2 linked regions of the Arabidopsis thaliana genome follow. The protein of the gene in region 1 purifies or fractionates together with the protein of each later gene. This does not show direct contact. Each region holds a gene or a part of one and is shown on either strand. Other genes may lie near its edges.

The links.
Region 2: the proteins of PRXIIF (region 1) and AT3G20390 fractionate together in Arabidopsis thaliana (co-fractionation; one large-scale study listed by BioGRID). This does not show direct contact.

The regions. Positions count from the first base shown.
Region 1 is NC_003074.8:1,824,316-1,831,719, forward strand, and holds PRXIIF (peroxiredoxin IIF), read right to left. Parts: upstream 3,592-7,404; 5' UTR 3,495-3,591; coding exon 3,279-3,494; intron 3,193-3,278; coding exon 3,163-3,192; intron 3,071-3,162; coding exon 2,912-3,070; coding exon of another isoform or gene 2,762-2,911; exon of another isoform or gene 2,712-2,761; intron 2,287-2,711; coding exon 2,192-2,286; intron 2,102-2,191; coding exon 1,996-2,101; 3' UTR 1,684-1,995; downstream 1-1,683. Other genes in the region: AT3G06040 (Ribosomal protein L12/ ATP-dependent Clp protease adaptor protein ClpS family protein), read right to left, coding at 201-761; TSC10A (NAD(P)-binding Rossmann-fold superfamily protein), read right to left, coding at 3,981-3,981, 4,080-4,374, 4,976-5,123, 5,309-5,896; AT3G06070 (uncharacterized protein), read right to left, coding at 6,990-7,319. UniProt on the Arabidopsis thaliana protein: Thiol-specific peroxidase that catalyzes the reduction of hydrogen peroxide and organic hydroperoxides to water and alcohols, respectively. Plays a role in cell protection against oxidative stress by detoxifying peroxides.
Region 2 is NC_003074.8:7,108,314-7,115,628, forward strand, and holds AT3G20390 (endoribonuclease L-PSP family protein), read right to left. Parts: upstream 3,617-7,315; 5' UTR 3,587-3,616; coding exon 3,199-3,586; intron 2,972-3,198; coding exon 2,856-2,971; intron 2,756-2,855; coding exon 2,711-2,755; intron 2,327-2,710; coding exon 2,253-2,326; intron 2,158-2,252; coding exon 2,108-2,157; intron 2,009-2,107; coding exon 1,914-2,008; 3' UTR 1,573-1,913; downstream 1-1,572. Other genes in the region: AT3G20380 (TRAF-like family protein), read left to right, coding at 108-339, 433-602, 695-974, 1,065-1,225, 1,297-1,457; AT3G20395 (RING/U-box superfamily protein), read right to left, coding at 3,707-3,850, 3,958-4,113, 4,283-4,366, 4,569-4,723, 5,347-5,479; EMB2743 (F-box associated ubiquitination effector family protein), read left to right, coding at 6,090-6,401. UniProt on the Arabidopsis thaliana protein: Hydrolyzes the Ser-derived enamine/imine product of Thr dehydratase, protecting the plastidial branched-chain aminotransferase BCAT3 (AC Q9M401) from inactivation. Involved in Ile biosynthesis.

The DNA.
Region 1 (7,404 bases):
TATACGGCATCGTTTCTAATATAAGGATAGAGGACAAGAACAAGTTCCAAAGAGAAGGCAAACAATTGACCAAAGTTCTTGAAAACTCAATGTCAAGTAATCGATTTGTTATTACAAAACATCTACCTTAAGTACCAAGATGTGATCACAATACCAAATAGTGAATCAAACAAAAAAACAATCGAAGTGTCAAAAGTCACCTACTCCATAACTGCGATTCCACCAACAGCTTTGATCTTGGCTATGATTTCATTAGCTTCTTCCTTTGTCACACCTTGTTTAAGAATAGCCGGGACTTTCTCCACAAGCTCTTTCGCTTCCTTCAGACCCAAACTTGTGAACGTTCTCACTTCTTTTATCACTTTGATCTTATCAGATGCATTAAACTTCTCCAACTTCACATCGAAAGCCGTCTTCTCCTTCTTCTCCTCTACATTCCCAGCTCCGGTATCTTGTTTTGCTCCAATGCCGTCCGATGAAATCATCTGTTGTTTTGGAAGCCTCAGGTGTTCATTGAGTGCAGGACCAATCTGTTTTCTTTCTTCTGGAGATAAAGCAGCTATACGCTCAGCTAGCTCCATGATTTTGCTTGAAGGCTGGGGTCTAGGACCATACGGATCATAAACTGACGGGTATTTGTATTTCTTGGGTTTAGCTTTCGAGACAGAGTCTTGCTGCAAGAAACGAACTTGCACAGACCAGATTACTTCCGGTTGACATTGGCGAGAACGAACGTTTCTAACAAGTGAAATAAGCTTCATGACTACTATTCCTCTGCTACCATACAAACATCAACCCAAGATCATTTCATGTCTCAAAATGTCAACAGGACAGCAACAGTAAAAACTCTCCTGTGTTTTCAAAAAAAGACGAAAACTTTAGCTAGCGAATCTACTAAACATTGATAATATTCCAATGCAAAGAGATCAAGATCTCAGAATAAGACTGATTATCAAGAAATTAGTGCTTAACATAAAAATAATTTCAAGAAACATGTTTCTATTGTATAGGTTTAGGTTCAAAGGTTTCTTCTTTGCAGATCAAATGAACATATCAAGATCAGTGAAACAAAATGGTGAGTAAGAAAGGATGATTCATAAGATCGGTTTCAGCGTCAATAGCCCAAATATAAATTCCAATGTATCAGATTTGATAGTCTAGGTTATTAGCTGCTAACACAGTTCCGAAATCAAACAATGGGATCCATGAACCGCCAATCTATTATCTGAGAGTTGGAAATCGGAGAAGGAGATGAGAAAGAGAGATAAGGCTTACCTCCAACGGCGGAAACGGCAAGCTTCGCCGGCTCTGACTTGATTATTACTGTGAGAGACGGAGATGAGTCACGCATAGGGTTTAGAGTGGAAAGATTCCTCTTTTCGGCTCAAAATTACTTTTGTCTATGGGCCAAGCCCAATAAGGATCTTATCAACAAATTTGACATACTACGTCCTTGTAAGGCCTTTCACAACAACCCACTCAGCTTTCATGTCCTCCCTCAAGAGCAGCACCTAGTTCATCTATATACCTTCATACTCCACAAGCAATGGCTTTATTTGGCATTGGGTTTGAAATAGCTGGCTCCGGATTTTAGTCAAATGAAAGAGCAGCTTGTGATTGCAGAAACAGATCTCGAGGCCACAAGGTTAGAGACTCAACAATGGAAGGAGAAACACCAGGTAGCGAGGAAAGAAGCTAAATTGCTCAAGAACACGAGTGGGAGACTTAGGATTAAGCAGAGGAGTCTTAACCTTCATGTTGACAATGGGGACACGAAAAATCATATCCCTCAACCACATTGGTTTCTTATTCATATTATGAACCAGATTTACATTTGGTGAGAAACGGCAAGACACATAAGTTTTATTTAAACTGAAACTGTGGAAACAAAACAAAAGAAGTGAAGCTGTTACTTGGTCTGATCCTTGAGACATGTTCGGATCAAACTTATTATCAGTTGCAACTCAGAAGAAACAGCAACTCTGGAAATACTTTTTAGATCTGTCCTAAGATGACTTCTGCCCCTGTAACCTTGAAGTCAGACGGTGCTTCTTCCACATTCACCGCCTTAACCTTCCCGTCTTCTACATAAGCCGACCATCTGAACATGGACATCATAAATCCAACGAATCTGTTAGATCAATGGTTTACGATACAAACATTTCTACAAATGGACTTTCCAGTATATTACCTCTCAGACCGTGGCCCGAGCAATGCAGCAGAGAGATCCTTGTCTAGCCCCAAGCTTTTGTGAAATTTCCCATCAAAATCTCCATAAAACTCAATCTGGTATGACAACGTTCAAGAGCATCACATTAAGTCATTTGTTCTAGCATGTAGTACTAGTCGATATAAAGAATTATGAACTTTCTAATGAGGGAAGTCCATTTAATCATAGAATCAAATTCTTTTATCGTCTATTAATGTGAAGGTAATCATAGACAACGTTCAAGAGCATCACATTTAAGTCATTTCTTCTAGCACGTAAACTTATCCGAACATAAACATAGAAATCTATTGTAATGCTAGTCCATATCAAGAATTATGAACTTTCTAATAAGGGAAGTCCATTTAATCATAGAATCAGATCTGTTTATCGTCTATTGGTGTAATATAAAATCTTGAGACCACAGACAACGTGAATAATAGAGTAATATAGTTCTAACTATAAGAGGTTGATTACTATCAGGACGTCAACAAGAGTTACATACTTGAGGAGTTAAAAGATTCCTAAATGAACCATCTTCACCACTGAAAACTCTTAGACAACGAAACCAGGAACCGAATAATATATGTTATGTTGCAAATCAAGTTTTCTGAAGCAAAGAACCAAATCAGCATACACTAAACATCGGATTAGGTTGGTGTCAAAGAACAAAGATAGGAACAAAAAAAAAATCGATGAACTTACTGCATCTTTGGCACCAAGCTTCTCTGCCCAACCATTGATAGCAAAGGGATCATTAACAGAGACACAGATGACAGAATCAATGCCTTTGGCTTTAAACTTATCAATGTGGCTCTTGTAGCTAGGCACATGCTGCTGTGAACAAACTCCCGTGTAAGCCCCCTGAACACAGAAAACGAATATTCCGGCACAACATCAGAACTCAGAAACCTGATCAAGACATAAAGGAACATGAAAAGATAGAGATTTCTTACAGGAAGACCAAAGATGACGACTTTCTTCCCCTGCAACCAATCAATATCCACAAACGTTTTGTCAGAAATTGAAATCCCCCTCTGAATTGAAATTGTCAGAAAAGAGAGATTCGAACCTTGAAGATATCTGACAATGGCGTGGTGGAGAATTTGGAGGAAACACCTTCGTCCCAGCTGCGAGCTTTCTGGAGAGAAACGCCAGGCGCCGCCGAGGTTATGTCAGTGCCTTCCGCGAGCTTTGAGAAACCCCTCGATGAAACTCCGATCCGGGCACTATTTGCCGCCGATCTTAGTGCCGATAAATTTCTTAGCTTTAGAATTGACATCGCCATCGCTGAAAATAAGATTGAGACCGTTTCTTGGTTCCTTCGATTACTGTATAGTGTCGTTTATGGCACTTCTCAAAGACCTTTCTAAAGAGACTTAATCGTTGCCGTTTTGTAACAAACAAATCAGACTGCACGTTGTTTAAAAGCCTCAAGAACAGCACACACTCAAATTTTGGTTTTGAAGTTTTTACTTCTTTCAAATACATCATTTACATTTCATCTTGTGAAAAACATTCACTTCTTGACCAAGTAAAAAATACATTCAAATGAGTTCTTTGATTTCTCTATAAAAAAAAAGAAAAAACAGAGCTTGTTCAAAGACCGGAAACATGAATCTTGACGAGTTTCTACAAAACTATCAGCAATGTCGATATTCTGAATTGGTATAGTCGACTAGCTGGCGTGGTACCGGACTGAGAAGAAGGTTTGAGAATACCCATCAATGTTTAAGCTTCTGCCAAAAGCACTTCAAGATACATTGTCGGGCTGTCTGAAATTACAAAAGAGAAGCAATTTTAGAATAGTGATGTCGCAGTCAAGCAAGAGCAAATTCTATATGATGACAACTTGATGGCATTAGGAACTTACCATTTGGTTTTGGTTTTGCTCCATTTTTCAATGGCTTTATACCAATCCCATTGAAAGAAGAGAGCGATTAATCTTATAGGCCCTGCGGTTATAACTTCAAGAAAAGCAAGCCAAAATGATCTTTGAGGGGACATGCCGGTTGTCGCGAGAGACAGTAAGAATCCCTCAAAGTTGCATGAGACGGTGAAGTTTCCTGCTTTTATGCCATCCATAGCCTTTTTTGCTACTTCTTCTGTTTCCATTGAACCAGAGGATGCAGCTATTATGGCAGTGACTTCAGGTCTGCTCTTCTGTTCTGAGAGAGCACCCAAGGAAAATCAATCAAACTCATAATATGAACCAAGGAACTCAGAACATCAGTCCATAATGTGTTTACTTCATTAGTTATCAAAAAAAAAAAAGTGCTTACTTCATTCTCAGATAGGCAAAAAGAAGTCTTTTATGAAATTTTCAGATGCTATTGGAAGATAACTACATCCCATTATTCTCTTCTAAACAGTATCATGTGAACCACAGTACGCAGAGACTTCAAGCTAAACACTATCACAGTACTCAGTACTTAACTCACCAGTCTATCAGTTTCTCCTAACTGGCACTCTCATAGAACATGTGAACATGAAATGCTACGTGTTTGATAGAGTACACAATTATTCAGACCAGATAAGGGCACATATTTGATCTCATAATAACAAACTAGATGAATAATAGTTTATGTCTACATATGTCCCAACCATATAGTACAGCCTTATTTAGTAATCTGTCTCCAACTCTTTTATACATTTAATTGCCTTAGTATTTAGTAGCAGTACCTAATCCTAGCTACCCTCACATGTTAAACTTAGATTATCTGCTCTATACATCCATGATGAATCTGAAAAATACTGAAGCTTTTTTACCTTCTTCAAAGCCGGGTGTATTAGTGTCAGGAGGAAAAATAAGAGTGACATGAATATCATCAGATATAACTTCCTGTTGCAATGCTTGCGCTAAACCCTGAAGACCAAACTTGCTTGCTGAATATGCAGCATAACCATAGACACCAACCTGAAAATTTTATTAAAAAAAACATCCTTCATCATTCTATCTTTAAAACTGCATTACATGAGGTCACATTATTGCAGTTACACAAAAGTTACTTCAAGTGATAAATTGTCAATGTCTTACTTCAGGTAACTACAATCTCCAGATAAAACTTAAATCCATAAAGATGGGAAATTTGAGAGACGAACCTGACCAGCTTGAGAGGAGACGAGACTGATGGAAGCAGGTCCACGATCTTTCCTTGCTTTCATGGCAGGCAAAGCGGCTTTAATCACATTGAAGCTCCCAACAAGATTTACGTCAATCGTGAATTTGACATCTTCAGGACTATGTTTCACCAGCTCCTTCGCCGTAAACACACCTTGGTTAACAATCAACACATCGATCGGTCCCGATTCATCTATCGCCTTCGAGACTGCATCGTAATCGCGAACGTCTGCAGAGAATGTGGCGACTTCGACACCAGTGGCGAGCTGGATCGATTTCTTAGCCTCCTCGAGCTTTGATCCGGATCGGGCGAGGATTGAGACACGAGCGCCCTCGGAAGCGGCGCGGTGGGCGAGAGCAAGACCGATGCCGCTAGATCCACCGGTGATGAAGGCGTGACGGGACTTGATAGGGATCTTAATGGGACGAGGACGTACAATTAGGGCTAAGATAGCGAGAAGCGATAGTGGGATAATGGGAATGAGGAAGAGAAGGAAGAGAGGAGAAATGGCCGCCATGGATCTCGTGACGAAGCTCTCGGCGATGTGAAGCTCCGTCAGCTCATTCATTGGAGAAATAAAAACAAATACGATTAGACCAGTTAACCAATTACTCGGTTTAATGATTTCTATCTGAACCGGCCGTTTTAGTTTCTCGCTGTAATTTATTTTTTATATAATAATTTTGTGACTTGTTGTCGTTGTGTTTCAAAATTGGTTTCTATTTTCTAATGATGTCGTTAAAAAACAACTGACACTAATCACCTTATTTGTTGTAGTTGATTTAGACTAATACACATTTTTATGAAAGAGATGAATAGAAAATTGTATAGTATTATTTTGTGAAATTATTTTAGTTTCTTCTGACATTTGTTTCACAAGAGAACATGTTACGTGACTACGTGTGATAGAGTTAAAAAAAGATTGTGTTCGTATTGCGCAACTTGTAATAAGGAGATGTTGAGTTAATACTTTCACATATGGGTGGTTAGTCTTATATGTGACATTTAAAACTAATTTAAGATACAGCTAGTTGACAGAAAACATACAGCTTTGATCCCATATAAATGTCTAAATTGAGATGTTTTTAGATTTAAAAAACGATTATATGAAAGAATATACACTACATCTTATACTAAAATAATAAAATTGAAAGAAAAAGAGTGATGGGCATGTATGCATGTGGGTGAGAGTCTGTGACAGTCTTTTTTCGTTTTTAGATCTGACTTTGTCTATTCAAACATTGTTGCCAACATAACTGTTAACTCTGTAAGTTTGAGGTCCCAAAGCGATTGATTGGTTCTAGACCTGACTTGGAAGATTTTCCAATCTCACATGGGACTTGTCCTCATCCAGATTAATTGACCTCCATTGATCCTTTACTGATTTGATCATTTAGGTACTAATTCTATCATGGGTTGTTTCTTCATTTAACTTAAAATGATTAGAGAAAGTGATAATACATGATAAGAGAGCCTACATATTAATCTATGTGGGTTGTTGAATAAATCACACCAAATCCCTTTAGATTGATGATTTCTCCTTCATTCTTATTATTTGCTGATTTTACAAACATAATATAAAATCTATAAATATCAATAATCAATTATATATAATTATGAATTAATGACACAAATCCATGTCTTCGAATAATCTTGATTGACTAAGTGAAAAGAGATGCTGCATCTCTGTAGGTTCTTCTTGGGTTAGTAGAAGCATGATGAAAGGTGATGCTTTCTTGGTTGTTGTTGTTGAGAGTTGTAAGATTGTTGTCATGGCCATGATGAGGAAACTGTTGCTTGGGGATAAAGGAACCGATGAATCTCCCTTGCTTCTTCTGATGAGGATGATGATTATGTTTCCTTCTTGGCTGAGAAGATCTTGGGATAAACACTCCTGTTCCTTTGCTCTCTCGAATTACGTTGTAATTGATCTGCTCATTGTACATCATATATGGTGTTGCTGATGTTTGGTAGTTTCCTCTGAACAAACCCTGTTTTGTTATCAACATCGCGGTTAATCACTAATCAAGAGATATATAAGATAGAGAAAAAGAAAAGAGTTTAAATTTGGACAAA
Region 2 (7,315 bases), 5.3 Mb from region 1:
ATCTCTTTCACTCTTAGATTCATCTATGTAACTTAGATTTTGTGTGTGGACATAATCCTCTGTTTTTTTTTCTTTTTTCAAATGCTCTGTATTTTTGTCTGAAACAGAGAAGGGAAAAGATGGACCAACACCAAACCTGGAAAAAGGAAATTACTTGCATAAACATAATGAGATCTCATCATCACTTGATTATAAAGTATCAGCTTCAAACATAGTGAAAGGTCTAACAGAAGTTCCTCCCTCGTCTTACTCTTTCAAGATAGAGTCTTATAACTCGTTCCTTAAAATCCCCTACTTGGGATTCGAATCTCGTCCCTTTGCAGCTGGTGGATACAACTGGTATGTTGGTATTCTGATCTTCATTTTCATGAATCGAATCTTATGTACCAAAAATCTTTTGATGGGTCTTAAAAGACATGATATATAATACAGGGTACTTAAGGTACACCCTAACGGGCTCACGTGGGATGGTACTTCAGGATACGTTTCGCTTTACGTACTCTTACACGAATCGACCCCCATCACTGCAGATCAAGTCGTTTACGCGGATCTAAGGTTTTACATCTTCAATAACAACGAGAAGAAGTACTTTACCGTCCAAGGTTTTTGCTAAATTTTTTCAATATGTATAACAAGCAAGAATAATTATCTATGCGTGCATGATATATAGTAACATTTTTGTTATAATCTATAGATACCAACGTATGGAAATTTACTGCACCCAAAAGGCTTTTGGGATTCCCTAAGGTCATGTCTGCAGATCAATTCGAAGACCTGCGAAACGGATACATCTACGATAATCACTGTGAGTTTGGTGTTGATGTGACCGTTGCTTCTCACTACCAAAAATCTGAATCTTTATTTGTCACTGAGAAATTCGATAACCCAATATTCACTTATGCACTCCTGAGATTCTCGACGCTGCTCAAAGAAAGTTACCAATCCGATGTGTTCTCCATTGGAGGAAGAAGCATGTGAGTACCACATCATTACAGAAGTAAAAACTTTGCGCTATAAGAGTATAGTGGTAGTAATTAACAATTATTGTTTTATATGATGATCAGGTATTTACAAGTGTTTCCGAATGGTCGTAATCTTTCAAAGGGAAAAGCCATGTCGCTGTATCTTAACATTAACGATAAATTCAAACCCTTTGAGATGATTTATGTTCGAGCCAAGCTTCGAGTTCTTAACCAACGCAAACTCAATAACGTCGAAATACAAGGTACGTAAGAAAATGGATATATAACATCTCATCGCCATTGACTAATGGGATTTTACTTTCTTTTTTCGCAGTTAGTAATTGGTACACTTCTTGGTTTTATTACTCGGGCGACTTTCAGATTATCCCTCTAGCTGATCTCAGAGATTCATCAAAGGGTTTTGTTGTGAATGATATGTTGAAGGTTGAAGTTCAACTCGAGGGCATTTCCTCAACCAAGTGGTACCCTAGTTAGATTTCTCAAACTATAGGAACTTGAAGCTCCATGTTTTTCCTTTGTTACCAAACCACCTAATAATAATAAAGGGTAATTTGTGTTTGCATTTTTTTTTACATATATTTTCTTTCTCTAGCAATATTAAATTATCATTCCTCTTCTAACGACCATATTAAGTTATTAACTCTTGTCTCTTCAAGCATAATGGTTTTCACTCAAATAAAATAATGTATACAATCAATACATATACGTCAACAGCAAATGAGGGTGGACAAGACACTAAATAACTTATTCTTGATTAGAGGCTTTTGATTTGTAACCAACCTAATGGTTGATAATCCGCAACATTTTTCGTAGTGCAGCAAAATGAAAAGTAGGTTAAATATGGGTTAAGCCCCAAAAACCATTGTTTCTCTTATTTGTTTTGACATCTTCCGGACCAAAATACCCTTCGTAGAGATTGATTTGAGTGTTCTAGAGTGTTGCAATACATTCAATCTCGATCTTGGCGTTTAGAGGCAAAGCTGCAACTTGATACGTCGATCGTGCTGGAGAAGGAGCTGGGAAGTCTGCAACAGAGACAAATGTTTCATGCCCTTAACGACTCCACTAATAATTATGCATCTCAAACAAAGTAGGAACACAAACAATCTTGTTAAAGAACTCACATTTGGCATATATCTCGTTCACTGTCTTGAAGTCAGCCAAATCAGCCAACCTTTGAGAGAAAACCAGAAGAGATTGTTTTTCTTTCTATTTAGATTCAGAATTCAAATGGACAATGGTACTGTTGAAAAAAACAAGATCCCTTACATGATTGTTGTCTTCACCACCGAGGAATAATCAGCACCACTAGCTTTCAATATCTCCCCCATGTTTTTGAGTACCTTTGATATTCCATAAGATAATAGAAGCAAGTAGATAAAATCAGGAAGGAAAAACAGAGCAACTCAACCTTGCTACAACTACACTGGAACAAGTTAATTTGAAGACTAATACCAACCAAATCAAGAATTTTAAAGCAAAACCCAAAAGTTTCAAAGGCTTAGTTTTGTATCATGAAAGTTTATATCCCAATAAACTCAGCTAGAATAAGGCACATTAAGTTGTCATCCCTCACTACATTTTCACCAACAAACAACATCATGACGACCTAGAGGCTAGACCTCCTTTTCTGTGGATAATCATCCACCAAAACAGAGAAGCAAGTGGAAAGTACTCTAAACAAAACCAATTTTTATAGAGACTACGGTGACAGTTTGAAAGCTAACCTGCTCAGTCTGATCTTCGACGCTCTCCGAAACAAACTTTCCAGTCTATATACACAAAACAAAAAGAGCAAATCTTGTAATCTTAGAACACAGAAAAGAGAAACAACATGGTGATTACACAGTTTCATATCTTATATATACGGACCTCAGGTATAAGTCCAAGAACACCTGAAAGAAAAACCAGATTATTGGCTTTAATGGCCTGAGAGTAAGGTCCCAAAGCAGCTGGTGCTTTCTCAGTAGACACAACTTCCTTCTTCACTGCACACCACACACAACATCACATTTCTTTAGTAAAAACCCTATTCTCAAACCCTTGATCATTCAATACGGAAGATGAAAGAAACTAAAACCCAATACTAACAAACATATGCATTGATGATAACTGAAATCAATTTCAACTTTTTGACACTGACATTCATAAAAATCGCATCTTTAGAAAGTACTAATATCGGTCCAAATTGGAGAAAATTGAGTAAAATCGTCACCAGAAGAAGCAGAGACAGAGAGGGAAGCGAAAGGAGGAGATCTAGAAGACATTCTGAAGAGAGAAACACCAGCGAATGTTGCGCAGCCGACACCAGCAGCGACCAATGGGGTACGAGTGGAGCGAAGTGCGGTGGAGAGGTCGAGTGTTGGAGTATTTATGGATCTGAAAACCGACCAAGTCATCTCACTCTCTCCGGCGCCGACAAGAAGTATAGAATAGCGAATGGACCACGAGAGAGAGAGAGAAAGGTAGGTGAAGAAGAAGAAGAAGACTGAGTCGATGCGATTGGATTTTAAGCAGATGATTCTCGTGCTTCTTCTTTTGTCTTCTTCCTTCTCTTCGAAATGTTTTTTTGTATTTCCCACTTTACCCTTAGTTAGGTACATATATTACTGAGAATTTAATTTTTATTTTTGTGTAGTTTAGTTGGATTGCAAATTTTAAAAATTTGGACCCGTTGGGTCATGTCGGTCCATAGCTTTGTGAAGTTTATCCACAACATATTGTTATGTAGAAGTTGTGTTATGTGAAAGATGGTCTCTACAAATGGGGCAAGTTTCTTGTCTAAGCAACCACTCATCTATGCAATTCATATGAAATGTGTGGCCACATCTTGCTAGCTTTCTTCCTACTTCCCCTTCTTCCCAATCCTACACACCCCAAAAATGAACATTAGAAATATATATGATTTAAGTCATTATTATCATATATTAAAATCTGATTCCTAGATGATTCTAATTAATTACATTTTTATCACCTGTAAGCAAATCGAGCAACTCGATTTTGTTTGATGTTCTGAACGGTTGTAGAACATCGGGATGTTCTGAATAGAGCTCTTCGATAGTCCCTTTTTTTCATGATTGAAATCGTATAAGTTTGAACTCTCCATGTAACTTGTATCCAATGCTATTATCTGCATTTTGTATTATAATATTACCGGAGTTAAAATTTTGTAAAATATACTTAGTTTAACGCTTTTTGTTATGGTTCTGATTTTACGTTAGAAAATATCGTGTTCTTGTCAAATAAAAAGACGTAGTTGAAAAAAAGTCAGAAGAACAAAAAGAATGGAGAGTACTTACTTGCCATTGATATGCTTTGAGAACAAAAGGTCTAACCAATCCCATAATGGCTTTCCCATTCACTACTCTCCTGAGTAAAGCCACCTGCCACTCTTTTCATATTTTTGTCACCAAACTATTGTTACCATAACATCATCTTTTATTCAGATAACTAGTTACTAGAATACCATTCATTTTTAGCTAGCTTTCTTAATTACAGGACCACTCCCACTATTTAACTAGAAACATATGGTTGTTTAGTGATTTATTTTTTAGATTCTAGGGTTATATGTAGAGTCACAATCACCTTAGACAAAGGTTGATCACTATGTAGCACCGGTCCAAAGAGTTGGACCGCAGTGATAACTCCAGCCACCACTCCAAGCACACTACCTTGAAGAAATCCGATGTCAGTGGTGTGACCTTCGATGGCTCCTACAATGGCGGCTACCACAACACTAGCTACATTCAAAATTAATGACATTTCGTGATCTTATAAAATTGTTTAACATGGAATGTGGAATGAAAACAATGCAATGTGATATGTTAAAATGATACATACCAAAAAGAAAGTATATTTTTCTAAGAATTTGGATGAAGATATTGTTGACAAAAAGATATACTTTTCTTAAAGAATGAGAATTTAAGGGTAGAGAATCCATACATAAGATAAGTTATTAAATTCAATTAAGGAATGCATAGACAACAAGTAATTCAGGTTAAAGGAAAAAACTAAGAAAATGGAAAAGAAGATCCCACATCAGACTCTTATGGTAAGTAGAAGTTGCTTGACACATCGCATCCATTCAAGAATTTTCTCTTTATCTTTTTGTTAATATGTTTTAGTTCTTTTATCAAACACTCATGTCAAGTTGTCAACTATATATAGTATACATATGTGTGGATTCATATATGAGAGGTAAGTACATGTCAATGAAGTACATATATCCAAAACCAATGAGATGGCGTCTCAAGTTTCATCTTTAAAAGTACGTTAGTTTAGCAAGCATCTATAGAATTCAAAAAAAAAAAGGGGAACAAACAGCATTAAATGATAAGAAAATGAAGATAACTTGTAAATTTACCGGAAGCAAGAATGAAGATGAATGAGCCCAACAAAGCTCGTTTTATCGTTCTTGACATTTTGAAGATCACGCAAGTAATCCAGAAAGAAACAACATATGTGAATTTCAGAAGAATCATCTTAGAAATGCCCATGAAGAAAAGATGGAAGACTAATTGATTTTTTTTCTTTCTCTTATAAGATATTTTGAATTTGTCTATTTATGGGGTGAGAGCTTGAATTGGAGAGTGGTGTGGAGTGTGAGAAAAGAGCAATTTATAAAGGAAAAAAGAGAGAAAGGAGGAGGAGTTGCATTTAAGAAGCTGAACTACCCATACCTCTAATCTACATTGCATTGGCGACTCTATTGGCGCATGCATGAACTTGCGCCCACAGAAGAATCTAAATGTTTTATAAAATAAAATAAAAGCAAGAAAATTGAATGGAGAAATTAATGCAGTTTTGAAATATGAAAATGGGAAGGGATGGGATAAGCTTGAGATTGAAATATATCCAATTTACATTCCACTACGATCTGAATGAGTTGTTTATTGCCATTTACATTCTAGTCATTATAGTGGTAGCAGTAAACTTCCAATCTTGGATTCTTAATCTAGCAAAAAGAAGCTCTTCATTAACCAATGTTTATCAATGAGTTTGGATAGACTAATTTTTACCGCATTTGTTTGTTAGCTCAACTAGATTTATGTTTCATATAGGCTATGACACAGACTTGTATAGTAAGAAGACTAGCATACATTAGAAATGGAGATCTGGGTTACAACTAAGATTGAGCCCAACATGTTGTCGTGGGGCAGCAAGGTCTTCTTATCAGTGGATATGACACCACTCACTGGCAACGATTTTATGTTTTCGTTTATGGCTACAAGTTTCTTCATTGATGAAGAGAAGAAAATCGCTGTGGTTTTTAATCAAAGCAAAGACAGGAAGCACAACACAGCTTTCATCATTGGACAGGATGGATCCTTGAAAGAAGTGGATCTTGGAGAAGTTCGAAACAGAGATCTCAAACCACTTGTGTCCTCTTATGTTCCAAGTTCAATGCAACTTGAATAGTGCATTTTACAAAACCCATAATCTATTTCTTGCACTTTTACTTGTTTCTTTTTCTCTTTTGTCATCTTCTTCTTTGAACAATATATAGAAATTTAATTCGTCTCTCATACTTCTTTTTGTTTGCCATATTTGACTTCGTTTTGTTGCCTTTAGTTGTTTAATTTACTTCTTCTGTTGTAGTAGACTCATTGCTAAATCTCTGTTTCTCTTCTAACATTTGTTATGTTTGTGTTCTTGCAAATAGGCAGCTCTGCTGTTGTAATTTATGTAGAACAGACAACAGAGTAAGCTGCGTTTAACTTTGAAATTTGCAAGTACGCATGCTTAGATTTGAGTTTCCCATTTTAACTTTTGTCCTTGTCAGTTTTACAAAGTGCAAGTGGCTGCTAGGCTGACACGTAGAAGATTGAATGATTTCTCGGAGTTAAGTTTTGTCCTTTGATACTCCCTGGTCTTAAAGCATACTTACAGAGTAACCGTAGCTGAATATCAACCTCAAGCAAGTCATGGAACCATACACCTTCCTTCAATCCACCAGTTTTGGGCTGGTTAGCGCTCTCCTAGATTTATGTTTCATATAAGCTAACCATTAAAAGTTTAAGAGAAGCTTGTGTAGTAAGAAGACAAGCTAAATGAGTTCTCAGTAGCCTTAATTCTTCTTCTTTTTTTGACTAAATATGAGCACTTATAGATGAAGACTAGTAATGCATTGATTATGAGAATACTAAAAAGTTAAGATGAATAATCAAAAAAATTATTTGGTTAGTATTAAAATCTTCAAATGAAACTTAGTCTTAAGATTTGTTGAGATCTTTCATACTATCGAAGTCATGTAGAGTGGAGGTACGTAGCCAGGCCTAGGAGAAGAGAAGAGAAGAGAAGGAGAAGCAAGCTAAGAAACTGAAAGCCTAAAA